Linked DNA regions of Callithrix jacchus. The protein of the gene in region 1 purifies or fractionates together with the protein of each later gene. This does not show direct contact. Links are inferred from orthologs where the notes say so. Each region holds a gene or a part of one and is shown in the gene's direction. Other genes may lie near its edges.

The links. Proteins that work in one complex are often made in the same cells at the same time.
Region 2: the proteins of BACH1 (region 1) and XPO1 purify together in Homo sapiens (affinity purification with western blotting; 3 studies listed by BioGRID, with this or other methods). This does not show direct contact. The link is inferred for Callithrix jacchus from reciprocal best matches to the Homo sapiens genes BACH1 and XPO1.
Region 3: the proteins of BACH1 (region 1) and MAFF purify together in Homo sapiens (affinity purification with mass spectrometry; 3 studies listed by BioGRID and IntAct, counting the BioPlex papers as one, with this or other methods). This does not show direct contact. The link is inferred for Callithrix jacchus from reciprocal best matches to the Homo sapiens genes BACH1 and MAFF.
Region 4: the proteins of BACH1 (region 1) and MAFK purify together in Homo sapiens (affinity purification with mass spectrometry; 6 studies listed by BioGRID and IntAct, counting the BioPlex papers as one, with this or other methods). This does not show direct contact. The link is inferred for Callithrix jacchus from reciprocal best matches to the Homo sapiens genes BACH1 and MAFK.
Region 5: the proteins of BACH1 (region 1) and HMMR purify together in Homo sapiens (affinity purification with mass spectrometry; 6 studies listed by BioGRID and IntAct, counting the BioPlex papers as one, with this or other methods). This does not show direct contact. The link is inferred for Callithrix jacchus from reciprocal best matches to the Homo sapiens genes BACH1 and HMMR.

What each region holds. Positions count from the first base shown.
Region 1 is NC_133522.1:35,359,649-35,363,880, forward strand, and holds the start of BACH1 (transcription regulator protein BACH1), read left to right. Parts: upstream 1-1,418; 5' UTR 1,419-2,146; exon of another isoform or gene 2,147-2,267; intron 2,268-4,232. UniProt on the Homo sapiens protein: Transcriptional regulator that acts as a repressor or activator, depending on the context. Binds to NF-E2 DNA binding sites. Plays important roles in coordinating transcription activation and repression by MAFK.
Region 2 is NC_133515.1:52,634,817-52,638,334, forward strand, and holds part of XPO1 (exportin-1), read left to right. Parts: intron 1-658; coding exon 659-793; intron 794-1,909; coding exon 1,910-2,093; intron 2,094-2,996; coding exon 2,997-3,103; intron 3,104-3,518. UniProt on the Homo sapiens protein: Mediates the nuclear export of cellular proteins (cargos) bearing a leucine-rich nuclear export signal (NES) and of RNAs.
Region 3 is NC_133502.1:209,199,871-209,202,175, forward strand, and holds part of MAFF (transcription factor MafF), read left to right. Parts: intron 1-984; 5' UTR 985-1,247; coding exon 1,248-1,327; intron 1,328-1,445; coding exon 1,446-1,512; intron 1,513-2,022; coding exon 2,023-2,305. UniProt on the Homo sapiens protein: Since they lack a putative transactivation domain, the small Mafs behave as transcriptional repressors when they dimerize among themselves.
Region 4 is NC_133503.1:57,496,269-57,499,786, reverse strand, and holds part of MAFK (transcription factor MafK), read left to right. Parts: intron 1-696; exon of another isoform or gene 697-838; coding exon of another isoform or gene 839-867; intron 868-1,423; coding exon 1,424-1,618; intron 1,619-2,357; exon of another isoform or gene 2,358-2,359; coding exon 2,360-2,794; 3' UTR 2,795-3,518. UniProt on the Homo sapiens protein: Since they lack a putative transactivation domain, the small Mafs behave as transcriptional repressors when they dimerize among themselves.
Region 5 is NC_133503.1:26,276,123-26,279,640, forward strand, and holds part of HMMR (hyaluronan mediated motility receptor), read left to right. Parts: intron 1-3,210; coding exon 3,211-3,373; intron 3,374-3,518. UniProt on the Homo sapiens protein: Receptor for hyaluronic acid (HA). Involved in cell motility. When hyaluronan binds to HMMR, the phosphorylation of a number of proteins, including PTK2/FAK1 occurs.

The sequences.
Region 1 (4,232 bases):
ACTCCCATGTGTCTGTAAGAACTCCAATCCTTCTTTCATGGTGTGTTTCCAAGTGTCCTTTCCTCGTGTTTCACTAAGTATCTGCACTTCCACCATGAACTCAGGCAGCCTGGGATGTGAAGTACCTCTTACCTCTGGACTGCTGGGTTCCTCTTCCCAATTAAGACCCAATGCAAATGTCACCTCCTCCAGGACCGCCCCCCCCCCCCCGTAATTCTAGGTCATAATGTATCACTTCACCCCTTGCACTCCCATCCAACTTCACGTATGTGATTTTTCTCATGTATTTTGGAGGTAACTCAAACGTCCCCAAGTCCCACAGCCTGTGGGTGCAAATGCGGTCGTGTTAGTGCTAATACCTGATTATTTATCTTGGTATCCTTTTTGCCCCAGGAACTCCAGGGCTGTCTTCTTGTTGCTGTCTCCAAAGCTAACAACAAAATCCCTTCACACAAATCGTCCTTTGGCTACAGGCCTCAAGGTCCGTGCCATCTCGCTGTAACCCTTGTGGGGTTGGCGTGCCCAGACCCCTCCACTGCGCGTGCACCCCTCTCTGCTGACGGCCCGTGCTTTGAACCCCAGAGGTGTTAAATGGCTTGGGAACATAATTTTAAAACTGACAGTTGGATAAACACCAGAAAAAGCACCAAAAGATGACAGTGGAACCCAGGCTCGAGATGGGCCGGCTGACACTACTGGGCGCTGAACCTGGCTGGAAGCTTCCTGGCAGCGACACTGAAAAGGGAACACCTGTCTTGGGCGCCCTTGTTTCACTGACAGTCAGAAGTAGAGCAACTGTTAGACGCTCTCCACAAAAACCTGGACGCACTTCACATGTGCCCACCAGCAAGCTCAAGTACCCTGTGAAGCTGGGCGTCCGCCACCCCCAGGGCAGGCAGCCGAGGGGCTTTCAAGGGGGTAAAGCGAGCCTTGTGGGGCCAGCGCCCGTTCTCCCTCCTGCTGTCCGCGGGCACCCTGGCAAGCTGCGCCTCTGCTGCATTAGGGCGTCCTGCAGTTCCTGGGACAAGGGGGCGCTCGGCTTTCCGTCCTGCCCTCAGAAGGGAGAGGAGAGTCGGTCCTCGAGTGGAAGTCAGCTCAGGCTGCGGGCTGTGCAGCGCGCGGAGGTCCAGGAACCTCACCGCCCCCTCCCCGAGGCCCGCCCCGTCCTGGCCCTTACAACCCCTCCCTGCAACCCCCCGCGTGGGCTTCCGGCCACTGCGACCCCGGCCGGCGCTACCGCGCTCGCTCGTTCGCTGACAGCCGCCTCGAGGGCAGCGGGGCGGGGCATCGGCCCCGGGGGCGGGGCCTCCAGCTGGCGGGCGGGGTTTTGGCGCCGCGAGGTGGCGGCGGCAGAGCGGCGCAGAAGGGTGGGGGCGGCTGGCCGCGCGGAAGGAGTGAGTCACCTGACCGCTGCCCTCGCCGCCCGCCGGGTTCGCTCGCTGCAGTCAGTCGGGCAGCGCCGCGCCTCAGCTCTGGTGAGTGGCTCGGCCGTCCTGCCGGCCTTCTCCGGGAGGGTTAGCGCGGTCGGGGACGCGGGCCTGTGAGGGGAGGCCCGCGGGCAGGTCCGGGGGAGGCGCGGGCGGGCCGGGGGCGGCTCTTTCTGGGCTGGGCGGGGCGCGGGGGGGGGGTGCCTGCCGTCCGAGTCCTGGAAGTGGCCGTGACGCCGGAAGGGGCGTCCCGTCGGCGCTCGAACCTCCTTCCGCGGCCGGAGCTGTTGTTTACCCGCGCGCGCCGTACTTTACTCGGGGCGGGCGGGGGCCGGTGGCCTTGGGGTCCCTGCCTCACCCCCTCTCCCCGCCCTCGGGCGCCAGCCCGGCCCCTCGCCCGCGGCCCGCTCGGGCAGTGACACATCAGCACCGCCCTCGAGGCTGGGGCCCCGTATTGTCCTCCGTCACCTCCCACCGCTTGCCCAGCCTCGCGTTTCCCCAGCCTGGTGCCTGTCGCGCGTGCAGTCGCGTGAGAAAGGCCGAGTTTGGGGCAGGGGAGAGAAGGCCACCGTGTTGAGCTAGATTTACCGAAGACTGGCTTTGGGGACCGGAGATCCCAGGACTCCCTTTGTTGGAGTTTTGCCCACGCTTTGTAATTAAGCCTCGCACAATATGGTGAGAGTGGGCGTTGATTCTGGAGACACCAGCTTTGTGCTCGGGTAATGTAACACGAGTGCCGTTGCTCTCTCATTCTACACGGCTGTTGCATGTCATTGAGTAGAATTGTGCGGAATGCTTTTATGGAGTGAGGCTTCTGCGTAAAATGTGTGCTGATTCCAGGTAAAGTGTAGTAGTAATTGTGAAAGAACGTGTATGGGAAGAACAAGCTACAATGTCATGCTTGGAGGAACAAAGACTGTTTTTGTTTTTGTAGGGTGCTGTGCTTTTTGAAGAATTATCTAGGTGTAGGGACTGTTGCCCATGGAGGATGCTATGGGAATTTGTTCATATATTTGAACCCTCTTTACATCCCAGAGGGTTTGCATTGAAGGCAATTCAGAAGGATAAAGGGTGGAAATCCCAGTGTGTTAGTGGCACAGCGCTTGAGCGCTTCACGTAGTCAAGCAGAGAAATGGGAAGAGGCCGGCTTCCTTCCTGGTCTTTGGGTAGTGGTGCAAGGGCTGGGCTGGGCTAGAAGGCACTTGCCACTTCTGCCTTTGGACATCTTAAAGTAGCCCAGGGAAAAAAAGGTTCCTGGTGAGTCAGCTTGGAGTAGAGTAGCTTTGGTGTACTGATTCTTGTATTGTTTTTTAACCCATGGTTCTGTCAAGTGGTTTACTATTGTTGAGTATGTTGGTTGGTTAACAAGGTAGGATGACTCTAAAAAAGTTGGGTTGCTGAGTCATTCGCCCCAGCTTGAGAGGTAATTGGAAACAGCTGGTGCAGATTCTCTAATCACATGCCTCCACTATAACAGGCCAAGAAGCGCTCTAGAGGGGTTGCTTCAGAAGGCTGAAGGGGACCCAGCTGGGTTGTTTTGATACAGGTATTCAGTGAAGTGGAAGAGCACTCTTAGGCAGTGGCCAGTAGCACTGAGGTGGTGTTTAAACACAGAGCCTTGTTAGCTGAAGTCTGAGAATAAATTTGCACTGGAGAGAGCCAAAACTTGGGAAGAAATTGGCAGCTAGGAGTAATCCAATAAACAGTATTGTAACAAAAATATTTACTACTCTTACTGGACTGAATTTCCTTTTTGTGGTTTTGTTATGTGGTCTATAAGTTTCAAGCAGTGAGCCTAATTTGTGCTTCACTACACAGAGCGGAGTTGCTCTGTTTTTCATGGCCCTTGGCTTTTTATGCATACACAAAAAATTTCAGGAGTCAGAGGAGGGTAAGCGCAATATGGGTGGAATTAACAGGTTGTATCGGGTCAAGTCTGGAAAGAGCTGTTTAATGAATGGCCAACCATATATACCTGTCTCATTGTCTTGATTGTATGACACTACTGTCTTTACACCTTGTGTCATTGCTTCTTGCTTTAAAAAGGAGCACACAACCCACACACAGTTTAGGAATGGGAAATGTAGAGCTGGGAATTTGGCCCTTACCTTTGGTGAAAAAAATGATTTCTACTAATGGTAGTTCATTTAAAACATTTTGTATTGGGAAAAACTATTTATTTTGTTACTTTAAGTCTGGGACTAGAGGAGATTAGAAATCATGAATTTTTTAAGTATTAGTGCCTCTAAGGTGGGGTGCAGGGGAGGTTCACTTGGAAATAATATATTAAAACTTTTAAAATGTCTTTTAAGAAAGACATTAAGCTTGAAGATACATTATGTGCATATTATATAATGTGTGTACATGAGCCCACTTCTTTTTTATTGGGGAGCATAGTCCATTCATCACCGTCAGTAACATTTTTTCAACAACTAGAATGCTTTTTCTTTTATGGTTTCCTCCTAAGAGTTCTTTCAAAATGTTCTTAATTATTCCATTTAAGTTTTATAGGTCTATTCTCTGTGCATTTTACTTTAAAGATTAGAAGCTTGAGTATAAACTTCTTGTTACATTGTGGATATTGGGGATGGAAATACAAAAAATACAAAATTTCATTTGATAACCTCTATATTGAATTTGGAGACAAGCTCACAGTTGGTTTGTTTAAATGTACTTGATCTGAAGTGCAGTGATATGTAAAAAGGTGCAATGGAACACTTGAAGATAATCTACACATTGGAGTGTAATATGTATATCGCAAATTTTGTGAAAATTACTTTGTACTGTTACTCCTTGAAGTCTTCT
Region 2 (3,518 bases), on another chromosome or scaffold:
CTGCCTCAGCCTCCCGAGTAGCTGGGACTACAGGCACGCACCACCATGCCCAGCTAATTTTTTGTATTTTTAGTAGAGATGGGGTTTCACATTGTTGACCAGGATGGTCTCGATCTCTTGACCTCATGATCCACCCACCTCGGCCTCCCAGAGTGCTGGGCTTATAGGCATGAGCCACCGCGCCCGGCCTAATTTTTGTATTTTTAATAGAGATGGGATTTCACCATATTGGCCAGGCTGGGTCTTGAACTCCTGACCTTGTGATCCACCCACCTTGGCCTCCCAAAGTGCTGGGATTACAGGCGTGAGCCACTGCACCTGGCCTCACATTTTGGACTTTTTAATAGTTTTTGTTGTTTTTTTTTTGACATGGAGTTTTCCTTTGTCACCCAGGTTAGAGTGCAGAGGTGTGACCTTGGCTCACTGCAACTTCTGCCTCCTGGGTCCAAGCATTTCAGGCCTCCCAAGTAACTGGAATTATAGGCACTTGCCACCATATCTGGCTAATTTCTTTGTATTTGTAGTAGAGATGGGGTTTCACCATGGTGGTCAGGCTGGTCTAAAATCAGTTTCAATACATTTGTATATTGCTTGAGTGTGGGTTTTTTTTTATTAGGGTGTATAAGAATATAAAAGTTTAAATGTCTTTTTAAAATAGGTTCATACATTTTATGAAGCTGTGGGGTACATGATTGGTGCACAAACAGATCAAACAGTACAAGAACACTTAATAGAAAAATACATGCTACTCCCTAATCAAGTCTGGGATAGTATAATCCAGCAGGCAACCAAAGTAAGTATTTCTACTTTTTCTTAACGTTTTTATGGGATTGAGGAAGTCTGTGGGGTTTTGTTTTTGTTTTTGTTTTTCTGAGACGGGGTTTCACTCTTGTTGCCCAGGCTGGAGTGCAGTGGGGAGATCTTGGCTCTCCGCAACCTCTGCCTCCCGGGTTCAACCAGTTCTCCTGCCTCAACAGGAGAATTCCCCTGTGCCCAGTGAAGACTGTGTTCTTTACAAATGTATTGAATTGAGACCTTGTAACATGTATGTCTGATCCATAAGTACTTTTATCCGTGGCTTTGCACATTTAAAAAACTATCTGGACCTGGTGCAATGGCTCAGGCCTATGTTTCTAGCACTTTGGGAGGCCAAGGGGGGTAGATCACCTGAGGTCAGAAGTTCAAGATCAGCCTGCCCAACAAAGCAAAACCCTGTCATTACTAGAAACAGAACAATTATCTGGGTGTGGTGGCCCATGCCTGTAATCCCAGCTATTCGAGAGGTTGAGGCAGGAGAATTGCTTGAACCTGGGAGGTGGAAGTTGCAGTGAGCCAAGATCAAGCCATTGCACTCCAGCCTGGCCAACAAGCGGGCGGGACTTTGTCTCCAACAACAACAAAAAAAATGCTGGGCGCAGTGGGTTATGCCTGTAATCCCACCACTTACGGAGGCTGAGGCGGGTAGATCACGAGGTCAGGAGTTAAAAACCAGCCTGGCCAAGATGGTGAAACCCCGTCTCTACCAAAAATATTAAAAAATTAGCTGGGCGTGGTAGCACACGCCTGTAATCCCAGCTACTTGGAAGGCGGAGGTGGAGAATTGCACAAACCCAAGAGGCAGGGTTTTCAGTTAGCTGAGATCATGCCACTACACTCCAGCCTGGTTGACAGAGCGAGACTCCATTTCCCAAAAAGAAAAAATTATCCATGGTACAATTTTAATTCTCATTTGATCTTAAAATGGAATATATTATTTTATTCTAGATACAGACAAAAATACTTTTGTGTTCCTTTTAACATTTGGGATTATAAATGTGGTTTACGGTAGGGGAAATGTAGTGGCTTTTGCTTTAGTAATTATGTGGATAATTCTTATGTGATAAATGGAATTTGCTTTTTTTCCTCCAAGAATGTGGATATACTGAAAGATCCTGAAACAGTCAAGCAGCTTGGTAGCATTTTGAAAACAAATGTGAGAGCCTGCAAAGCTGTTGGACACCCCTTTGTAATTCAACTTGGAAGAATTTATTTAGATATGCTTAATGTATACAAGTGCCTCAGTGAAAACATTTCTGCAGCTATCCAAGCTAATGGTAGGTGATTCTGAATTCTTACACAGTGTAGTATAAATAAAGCATGGCTGGGCGTTGTGGCTCATGGCTGTAATCCCAGCACTTTGGGAGGCTGAGGGGGGCAGATCACCTGAGGTCAGGAGTTCGAGACCAACCTGGCCAATGTGGAGAAACCCCATCTCTACTAAACAAAAAAGAAATGAAAAAGTAGCAGGTCGTGGTGGCTCATGCCCTGTAATCCCAGTACTGCAAGGCTGAGACAGGAGAATCGCTTGAACCCCAGAGGCGGAGGTTGCAGTGAGCCAAGATCACACTGCTGTGCTCCATCCTGGGCAACAAAGAGCAAAACTTTGTCTCAAAAAACAAAAAAGAAAAATCATTTCCACTTTTACTTCCTTAAGTCAAACATTCAATATTTTTCACAGATTTAAATTAGACCTCCTGTTTCCCAGATGACCCTAGATATATTTAAAACAGTTGGGGTACCTTTCCCTTTTAAGATTAGTCTTAGGCAAGGGTAATTTTTTTTTTTTGGGGAGATGGAGTTTCGCTCTTGTTACCCAGGCTGGAGTGCAATGGCGCAATCTCGGCTCACCGCAACCTCCGCCTCCTGGGTTCAGGCAATTCTCCTACCTCAGCCTCCCGAGTAGCTGGGACGACAGGCACGTGCCACCATGCCCAGCTAATTTTTTGTATTTTTAGTAGAGATGGGGTTTCACTATGTCGGCCAGGCTGGCCTCGAACACCTGACCTCTTGATTCACCCGCCTCAGCTCCCAAAGTGCTGGGATTACAAGCATGAGCCACTGTACCCAGCCGGATTTATGCTTTTTAATGATAAAATGAAATTTCAACTAATGTATACCTGAGTACCACTGTATGATTTTAGTGGTAAAGTTAGATTCCATTTGATTCTGTTTTGTAGGTGAAATGGTTACAAAGCAACCATTGATTAGAAGTATGCGAACAGTAAAAAGGGAAACTTTAAAGTTAATATCTGGTTGGGTGAGCCGATCCAATGATCCACAGATGGTAAGTGAGAGATGCTTTGCTTGTGGTTTTTAGTGTTGATGCTGTGTTTTATGGAATATGTTATACTCTTTTATGTGCATTTTACTAATTTAGAGGATGTCTACTTTGTGGTTATTTTATGGCATTCTATATATTGTAGTCTTTATGTTAATATACTGACAGTTGTATTTCATCTTCAAAAGAAAGTGCTGTTAATAAGGAAGTGTGGTGATAATGTAACAAGATAGCTAAGAAGATTTGGTCATTTTATATTTCCATAGATAGGTTAGGAGGATTTAGTTAATGGAGTATAGGTGCTATTTTTGCATTCCTCTTGACTTTTTACAACAATTAATAGAGCTACAAAGTTGTCACTACTTTACCTTTTTTTAAATAAGAGATAGTTATGACAAACCCACAGCCAATATCATTACTT
Region 3 (2,305 bases), on another chromosome or scaffold:
TCTAGGGCTGGCTGCCCCATCTGCCTACGGCATGCTGAGTTAGTGCTGGGCAGCCCCCAGGTAGTTGGGGAAGCTTTCCCAAAACACAGGTCTAGGTGAAAGAGGCCTGGGGAAGGGGGGACTGGCTGATGTAACTGATGGGGTGTCCGATGGACTTTGTGAAAAGGCATTAATGGTGCACATATGCTGTGTGTACTTTTCTGTATGTAGGTTATACTTTAAGAAAACTTCTGAAAAATCAGGATGGGAGTGTTGGCTCATGCCTGTGGTCCCAGCACTTTGGGAGGCTGAGGCGGGCAGATCACAAGGTCAGGAGATTGAGACCAGCCTGGGCAATATGGCAAAACCCCTCCTCTACTATAAGTACAAAAAATTAGCCAGGTGTGGTGGCACGAGCCTGTAATCCTAGCTATTCAGGAGGCTGAAGCAGGAGAACCGCTTGAACCCAGGAGGCAGAGGTTGTGGCGAGCCGAGATTGAGCCACTGCGCTCCAGCCTGGGCAACAGAGTGAGACTCTGTCTCAAAAAAAAAAAAGTTGTGAAAAATCAAACCAAATGCACATGTCCGCGCTCCATGTGGAAGAATGACCAGGAGAGGAGTGTCTGTCCATTTGGTGCACACTCATTGGGTCATCTGTTATATGCCAGGCACTCGTTTAGGCATATTGATGTCATGGAGAGACAGGCAAGGCCTCTGCCTTCGTGGGTTTCTGTTTTGGGGGAGGAGGGGTGGAAAGGAGAAACCAATTATAGCTGAGGAAGTGAGCCTGAGAAATGAGAAGCGACTGTTACAAGGGTTCACAGATGGGGTGATCTGATGTGCACAAAGAAACGTTTAGCCATAATGGTCAAAGAAGACCGCAGGCCAGGTGCGGTGGCTCACGCCTGTAATCCAAGCACTTTGGGAGGCTGAGGCGGGAGGATCACCTGAGGTCGGGAGTTCGAGACCAGCCTGACCAACATGGAGAAACTCTGTCTCTACTAGAAATACAAAAATTAGCTGGACGTCGTGGCATCCGCCTATAATCCCAGCTACTCGGGAGGCTGAGGCAGGTGAATCCCTTGAACCCAAGAGGCGGAGTTGTGGTGAGCCAAGATTGCGCCATTGCACTCCAGCCTGGGCAACAGAGTAAGACTCTGTCTCAAAAAAGAAAGAAGAAGAAGAAGACCTCTCGAGGAGGTGACATTGGGCAAAGGCCTAAATAATGAGGAGTCACTATGGGGAGATAGAACAGCAAAGAGAACATCATGTGCACAAGTCCGGAGGCTGGAATGGGCTTTAAGGAGGCCACTGTGGCTGGACCAGTGTGGAGAGAGGAAGGTGGTAGGTATGAATCCGTTCTAAGAGAGCAGGGGCCTTGAATACCAACGTAGTGAGTTTGGATTTTATTCTAAATGGGAAAACAAAAACAAAACAAAGCGACTTTTGCCTCCTTTCTACTCTAGGTCTGCAGCCCAGAGGGCACCTCCTGCAAACATGTCTGTGGATCCCTTATCCAGCAAAGCTCTGAAGGTGAGGAGGCAGCCTCTGTCAATCCCTGCCCCTGCAGAGCTCCTCATCCCAGCTTCCCCTTCTTTCCTGGAACCCCCTGGGTGGCTCAGCAGGCTTCGAGCCTTCATGATGCCAAAGTGGGGGCCACAGCCATGGATTGGGACGAGGAGGCCTGGGCTCTCGTCACAGGCTGCCTGTCCCTGGGATAGGTCACTTCCCTCTGCATCTTGTCAATGTCCCCCGGGGGCATTCAAAGGTGGTTTCCGGGCTGGGTTTCTCTGGCTGAGTCCAGGGCTTGGCGCTAGGTTAGAATCCAGGCTGAGCCCCAGGATGGCCTCCTTTTGTGTTTTCCTATCCTCGTTTGGCCCGGTTTTCCCTTCCCTGATTCCTGCTACCCTTTGGGGTTTGGGATCAAGTCCAGCCGCCACCTCAGCAGCTAAGGCGCTTAAGGAGGAACACTGGAGGTGGAGCGGCGGGGGGGGTGGGGGGGGCGTCCCCAGTCCCTGGGCCTCAGTTTCCCTTTACCTGCAGATCAAGCGCGAGCTGAGCGAGAACACGCCGCACCTGTCGGACGAGGCACTGATGGGGCTGTCGGTGCGCGAGCTGAACCGGCACCTGCGCGGGCTCTCGGCCGAGGAGGTGACACGGCTCAAGCAGCGGCGCCGCACACTCAAAAACCGCGGCTACGCCGCCAGCTGCCGCGTGAAGCGCGTGTGCCAGAAAGAGGAGCTGCAGAAGCAGAAGTCAGAGCTGGAGCGCGAGGTGGACAAGCTGGCACGAGAGAATGCCGCCATGCGCCTGGAGCTCGACGCGC
Region 4 (3,518 bases), on another chromosome or scaffold:
TGGAGCCCACCTGGCCTTCTCCAGGACCGGCTGGTGTCGTCCTGTGCTGTCTACGTCAGCACCCTGAGAGCAGCTGGCCCTGGCAAGGGCAGCGGGCTCTGCAGCCTGGTGTGGGACCATCTAGTCTGTGCCGTCCTCTGGTTGTGGGGGTGGGTAGGGTGCAGGAGTGGAACCCCAGTCGGAGGCAGGGCTGGATGGTGGAGGGATTTGGGCCCGAGGCTCCCTGGCCCAGGGTGGGGGGGTCCTGGGCTGGCAGGGAGGGCAGGACGGGGTCACCCCCGCAACACTGCCATGTTGCCCAAGGACACCGCCCACCGCCATGTGCCACTCTGATGTTCCTTCTTCGGGAACCCGTGTCTGGTATTTGGGGTGTGGGAGTGGGTGCTGTGAACCCCTGTCCTACAAGCAGCCCCGCACCCTCTGCCTGCCTGTCCCAGCTACAGGGTACGGATGAGTTTGTTTACTGCCTGCCAGCCTCGTGATGTCTGTGCAGCCTGACCTGAAGTCAGGATCGTTTTTTGGGCTTCTCGGTTTCCATGACGACCATGGGGGCTGGCTCGATCCCAAGGTCGCCATGACAACTATCAGAGGGATCATGCCGGGGATGCTTTGGCTGGGTTTTTCATGAATGATTAGAATGTGTGACACAATGCAGACGTGAGGACGGTGGGGGCGGCGGCGGGGACGGCTCCCGCCAGACAGTCTAACACTCGGCAAGGCGGTGGCTCTCCACCTCCCTGGTCTCTGGCTGCGGCACCGGACCCGCTGCCCCTCAGGAGCCCCACACCCCCTCGGGCTGCAGGGTCCTTGCTTGGGGGCAGCTTAGGTGGAGGTGGTGATGTCACAGCCGCAGCGGCTGGGGCCGTGGTAGGTGACCCGTGGCCTGCAGGGAGGGTGGGGCAGGAAGGCGGCTGGGGCCTCACCCAGGCCCACCTTGGGGGAAGCTGGCGATGGCAGGGGCTCCCCAGAGGCCTCCTCTCAGGGATCCAGGCTGCGTCTGGAGCACTGGAGTCTGCCAGGGTAGGGTCGCTGTCCAGCGGGGCCTTGGGGCCAGCACAGCCGTCTTGGGGGAGGGAGGTTTTGCCAGTGGTCACTTTGGTCTTCAGGACAGAGCACCTTGTGTCACGCAGGTGCAGATGTCTTGTCCGACCTCAGGGAGAGTCACAGCAGGAAGCAGCCACTGCTGGCGCCTGCTGGTCACCCCATAGCGCCGGCGACCACAGCTCAGATCCACAGGGCAGCAGGGGGCTGCATGTGGCTATTAGGCTCTGGGGTGGGGGTCCCAGCCACTCTTCAGACTGTGCTAGAGCATGAGGTGTGGCCAGGCCACCTCCTGGAACCCTGGGCAGAGACAGAAGCTGGACCAGGATGTCCTGGGGAGCCCCTGGGGATGGGCCGGAATGGTGCCCCATCTTATTTTCAGGGTGCTGTGATCATCCATCCCAGGCTGAGGAGGTCCCTGCATGGGAGACGGCCACCCCATCCTGCACCTCTGGCCCTGACCTGCGCTGGCTTCTCTGCTTGCCCGTGTTTTCCAGCTACGAGTTCCAGAGAGCTCTGTCCTGGTGACTTTGCCCAGGTTATGACGACTAATCCCAAACCGAACAAGGCATTAAAGGTAAGGCTGACTCCAGGCAGGCACTGGCTCCAGGCAGGCCCCGTCTCAAACACAGGCGTGGGAAAGGCCCCCCAGCTTGACACCCCGGCTTCCCAGGGCTGCCCTGAGCCTGTGATGGAGGCCTCCCTGTTGCCAGGAAGAGATGGGGTGCTGTGTCTGGGGGATGTTCACAGGAGAGGTGGGGTCAGGATCAGGGATTGTGGCCCCAGGAGATGACTCCCAGGTTGTGGGCTTGGTAGGGTCTGATGCCCACCCGACAGGGCCACGTCCCCACTGGGCACTACTGCATGAGCTCATCCCCCAGCTCCAGGTGTGAGCAGTGTGGCCTCATCCTCCCATTCCAGGTGTGGGCAGCGTGGCCTCTAATGAATGGGATGTTCCAGCTCCCAGGGCCTGAGCTCATCTGTGCCCGGTGCTTCCTGCCTCTGCAACGACACATGCCTGTGGATGGGCTCAGTCCCAGCAGCAGAACCTATGTGCTCTGGGTCCTCGCGGGGTTCTGAGGCTGTCAGTAACCAGGAGTGACCAATGTCACCACTGGCTTTTCTCATTCAGAAAGGGTCCTGTGGGGCCACAGCCATCATGTGGGCTGCCTGCGTGCATGGTGTCTTGCGGTCTGAAGGCCAGCCCCAGGAGTGCACAGGCATGCAGGGGTACTGCTGAGTCCCTGACCACGCCGGTGCTGATCCCAGGCGGGCACCCCGTGTTCTCCTGCACTGACCCTGTGCTATGGCCCCCCAGGTCAAGAAGGAGGCGGGCGAGAACGCCCCAGTGCTCAGTGACGATGAGCTGGTGTCCATGTCAGTGCGGGAGCTGAACCAGCACCTGCGGGGCCTCACCAAGGAAGAGGTGACCCGCCTGAAGCAGCGGCGGCGCACACTCAAGAACCGTGGCTACGCGGCCAGCTGCCGCATTAAACGGGTGACACAGAAGGAGGAGCTGGAGCGGCAGCGCGTGGAGCTGCAGCAGGAGGTGGAGAAGCTGGCGCGTGAGAACAGCAGCATGCGGCTGGAGCTGGATGCGCTGCGCTCCAAGTACGAGGCGCTGCAGACCTTCGCACGCACCGTGGCCCGCGGGCCCGTGGCACCCTCCAAGGTGGCCACCACCAGTGTCATCACCATCGTCAAGTCCGCCGAGCTCTCCTCCACCTCTGTACCCTTCTCGGCCGCCTCATAGTGCCTGCTAGAGGCGGGGGGCGGCGGGCAGGCGAGCAGGGTCGTGCCCCTCAAGCCTGTCACTGGGACATACTCTCAACCTCCAAGTCCAAGTGCAGGCCCTTCAGGTGCAGGCAGCTCAAGCCGGGATGAAACTGGTGCAGGGCGAGGAGTGGGCTCTGGTAAGCCCAGCGGTCCACATGCACACACACGCACCCACTCACGCCTGCCCCCGGCTCCCTGCAGGATGTGTCTGTGTGTGGGAATTGGTGTCTTGTGCACGTGAGAGTCAGGTTGGATCGATGGGAATGCCTTCGGGAAGTTCCGCTGTCCCCTGCAGGGGCTTCCAGGAGACACGGCCCTGGGAGTCAGGCCCCTGTGGCTGGGCTGGCATGTGGCTCGTCTTCCACTCCTGCTGTGAACAGCTATCAACACCTGTCCTGTCACGGCCCTCCAGCTGGTGCGGGGGCCCCTCGCTGCACTGACCAACTCCACAGCCCCCACGGAGGGGCGTGGATGGTGCATCCGTCCTTCCAGCTATCCTGTTGGAGTGGCTATGAACTGCTTCTGCCTTAGGGGCCTGCGGGAGTGGGCACGTTGTGGGAGGCCGCCTGCGTGGGGTGGCATGTTTGCGTGCACGTGGCACGCCTGGCATCACAGCATTGGGGCTGAGGGGGGCAGCTTGTTGGCTTTCACCAAGGGAAGGCCTGTGGGCATGCATGGCAGAGAATGGCTCATACGTTGTG
Region 5 (3,518 bases), on another chromosome or scaffold:
CACTTGTTTACACATTTTGGCTATTATAAATAATGCTACCATAAACATTTATGTGCAAGTTTTTATGTGGACATTTGTTTTTATTTCCCTGAGAAATAATAGGAGGGAAGTCACCAGATCATTTGATAAGTCTATGTTTAATCATTTCAGGAAGTATCAGACTGTATTCAATTGAGATTGGGTGTTTTCAGGGTGATATGGCCTTAGAAAGATCAGACTGTATTCAAAAGCGTGTCAAACCATTCTGTATTCTACCAATAGTGTATGAGGATTCCAATTTTTCCACATCGTTACCAACATTTGTCTGACTTCTTTATCCTAGTCATTGTAGTGGATATCACGTGGTATCTCATTGCGACACGACTTGCATTTTCTTAGTTGGTAATGATGTCCGTCATCTTTTCATTGCTTACTGGCCATTTGTATATCTTCATGAAAGAAACGTCTATTCAGACTCTGCTTGTTTTTAAATTGGATTATTTGTCTTTTTGTTGTGAGAATTCTTCGTCGATTCTGGACACAAGTCTCTTATGTATTATTTGCAAATATCTTCTCCCATTCTGTGCATTATCTTTTCACTTTCTTGATGATGTCCTTTGACCCACAAAACTTTTATGAAGTCCAGTGTGTCTATTTTTCCCTTTGTTTCTTGGTGTCTGTCTCCTCTGCCAAATTCAAGGTCAGGAAGATTTACCCCTGTGTTTTCTTCTAAGAAGTTTATAGTTTTAGCTCTTACATTTAGATCGTTGTTTGATCTTGAGTTGATTTTTGTATGTGGTGCGAGGTTAGATCCAGCTTCATTCTTTAACATGTGGACATGAAATAGTTCCCACACTATTTTTGAAGAGACTATTCCTTCTCCAGTTAATGGAGTTAGCACCCAATTAAAAATTCATTTAGGGCCAGGCACGGTGGCTCACACCTGTAATCCCAGCACTTTGGGAGGCTGAGGTGGGCAGATCACATGAGGTCAGGCTTGAGCCACTGCACCTGGCCAAGGACTCTTTCTTTTTTATGATTTCATTTCTTAGACGTGGGGACACGTGGATTTCTTGTTTGTTACATGGATGTTTTGCATGATACTGAGGTTTGGGGTATGACTGGTCCCATCACCCAGGTAGTAAGAATAGTACTCAATAGGTAGTTTTTCAGCCCTTGTTTAATGGCTGAAAAACACGACATCCGATTACTCTCAAAGGCATTTTTTCTCCTTTTGTCCAAATATATAAGTTATACTTTTCTATTTATTGATATGCCATGTAATGTTTTATTAGAAAGTAAATTTTTAGATTATATATTGTAGCATTTCTGGGCACAGCTCCCCCTCCTTTTGAGGCTTATTTGCTTGTTTGCTTAATAAGCAGCTCAATTATTTTAGTGAGCTTATCCCGCTACCTTTCCAGCCCCCAACAGTGTTGCGCCTCTGATGTTGCTGTTGAGGGAGGTACAGTTTTCGGTATGCCCATAATTACCCTGGGATGACACTTGCTTTGGTAGGGCAGCTTTACTCTCTTTCCCTGAACCTAGTGGCTGTAAACTCCAGTAGATGCTGACTCCTTGCTTTATTATTTTCAACAGTAACCTGGGGCATAAATTACTCTATAAACGAATCCAACCAAATTCTGACTCTTGTAGGAATTCCATCTAAGAGCAGTGCTGGGTGTTTATTTTGACTACAGAAATGCTCCTCCCAGCTGTCTTATTCCCTAGTTTTCATCTGCAAACTAACCAGTGTACTGTGTAGCCTATGTATTAAATCTCCTCCCAATTCTCTCTCACTGTAAACTTTACTGTCCTTTAATGGTCCCCAACCATTTTGGCACCAGCAACAAGTTTTGTGGAAGACAGTTTTTCCACAGACCAGGGGTTGGTAGGGATGGTTTCAGGATCAAACTCTTCCACCTCAAATCATCAGGCATTAGATTCTCATAAGGAGCATGCAACCTAGATTCCTCATGTGTGCAGTTTACAATAGCGTTCACACTCATGATAATCTAATGCCACAGCTGATCCGACAGGATGGGGAGCTCAGTGGGTAATGCTTATGCTTCCTGGCTCTGGCTCACCACTCACCTCCTGCTGTGCAGCGAGGTTCCTAACAGGCCACGGACTGGTATCCATCTGCAGCCCAGATGTTGGGGACCCCTGCTTTAGAGCACCCTTAGGTTTCAGCTTCTCCAAGCTCTGTTGCAGGTGAAGTCAGTTCTTTTGCGAAGAAATGAGGAGTAGACCTACTCATTTCTTTATGGCCTACTTCTCTTTTCCGCCTCTTTCCCCCAACAATATCTCTAAGCCAGGACTAAACCTGAAATTGGGACAATGGCACCTTTCTCTCTGAGTGACATCTCTGCCCTAGGAGCTGAGTTTTCACTGGACTTGTGGGAAAGAGATGAGGAATAGCCTCAGGCCCTCTTGACTCACCTCTCCTGGTGTAGAACCATCCCCTCATCAGCCAAAGCAAAGGTGATCAGGGGCCCTGCATTTTCAACACACTGTGCCCAGAGTGAGCTTCTGTTTCATGAATGGGGCTGAGTGAAGGAAGGGATCCCCCACGTTACAACTACATTTGTCTAAGATGTAACCGCAGCAACAGGGAGCTGGGGACAAAATGAGAAAATCTGATATCCTGCTCCTCCTGGGAGGAAAGCCTCTGACTCGGAGTTGGAGGAAAAGAAGGCCCTGTGTTCTTGGCTGTTGCTATCTGGCAAGGACTCTGCCTTGCTAAGCTGGGTGTGGGAAGGCAGGAAGGAGTTTTGGCTTAAATACTGCAGACTCTCATCCTTTTCACCAAGTTTTTGCAGGTTTTCTTGAATAGATGTTTCTTCATTTGCTGTTTTTTCCTTAGGCTGATTTTCAGAGGCTTTAACTGGTCAACATTTTATAACTTTTAGTTTCACTAGGGAACAGGTCAGCAGAACTTTCATGCCGGAAGTCCATCTCAGCAATTAATTAATTTTGAGTTGAACTTTTATAAGAAAAATAGCTTTGTAGCTGTAGAGGGGCAAGGAGATTTAGAAGACTGTATCTCCTTGGTCACAGGTGTTTCAAGTCATTTTGTAATTCAGTCTTAAAGGCTGTGTCTAGTAGTGATTTTTGCCATTGGGTGTGACAATACAGAAACAACTTTGAAATTTGCTCACAACATTGGTAACACATTTCACTGACATAATCTTTAATAATTGTTTATTACCTATTATTTTTCTTACCTAGGAAGTATCAAAACTCCGCTGTCTGCTTGCAAAAAAAAAACAAAGTGAGACAAAACTTCAAGATGAATTGAATAAAGTCCTAGGTATCAAACGCTTTGATCCTTCAAAGGCTTTTCATCATGAAAGTAAAGAAAATTTTGCCCTGAAAACCCCATTAAAAGAAGGTAAGACATGAATAAATGTATAGAAGTGTCCTCTTCCTTTGGATTTGCTTTCACAGCATTTAGCAAGTCATCCATTTTATGAACTGTGAAAATTTGTTGACACCTTCTGATGTAAAAGCAGTTCTTAATGAGATTGTTGTGTACG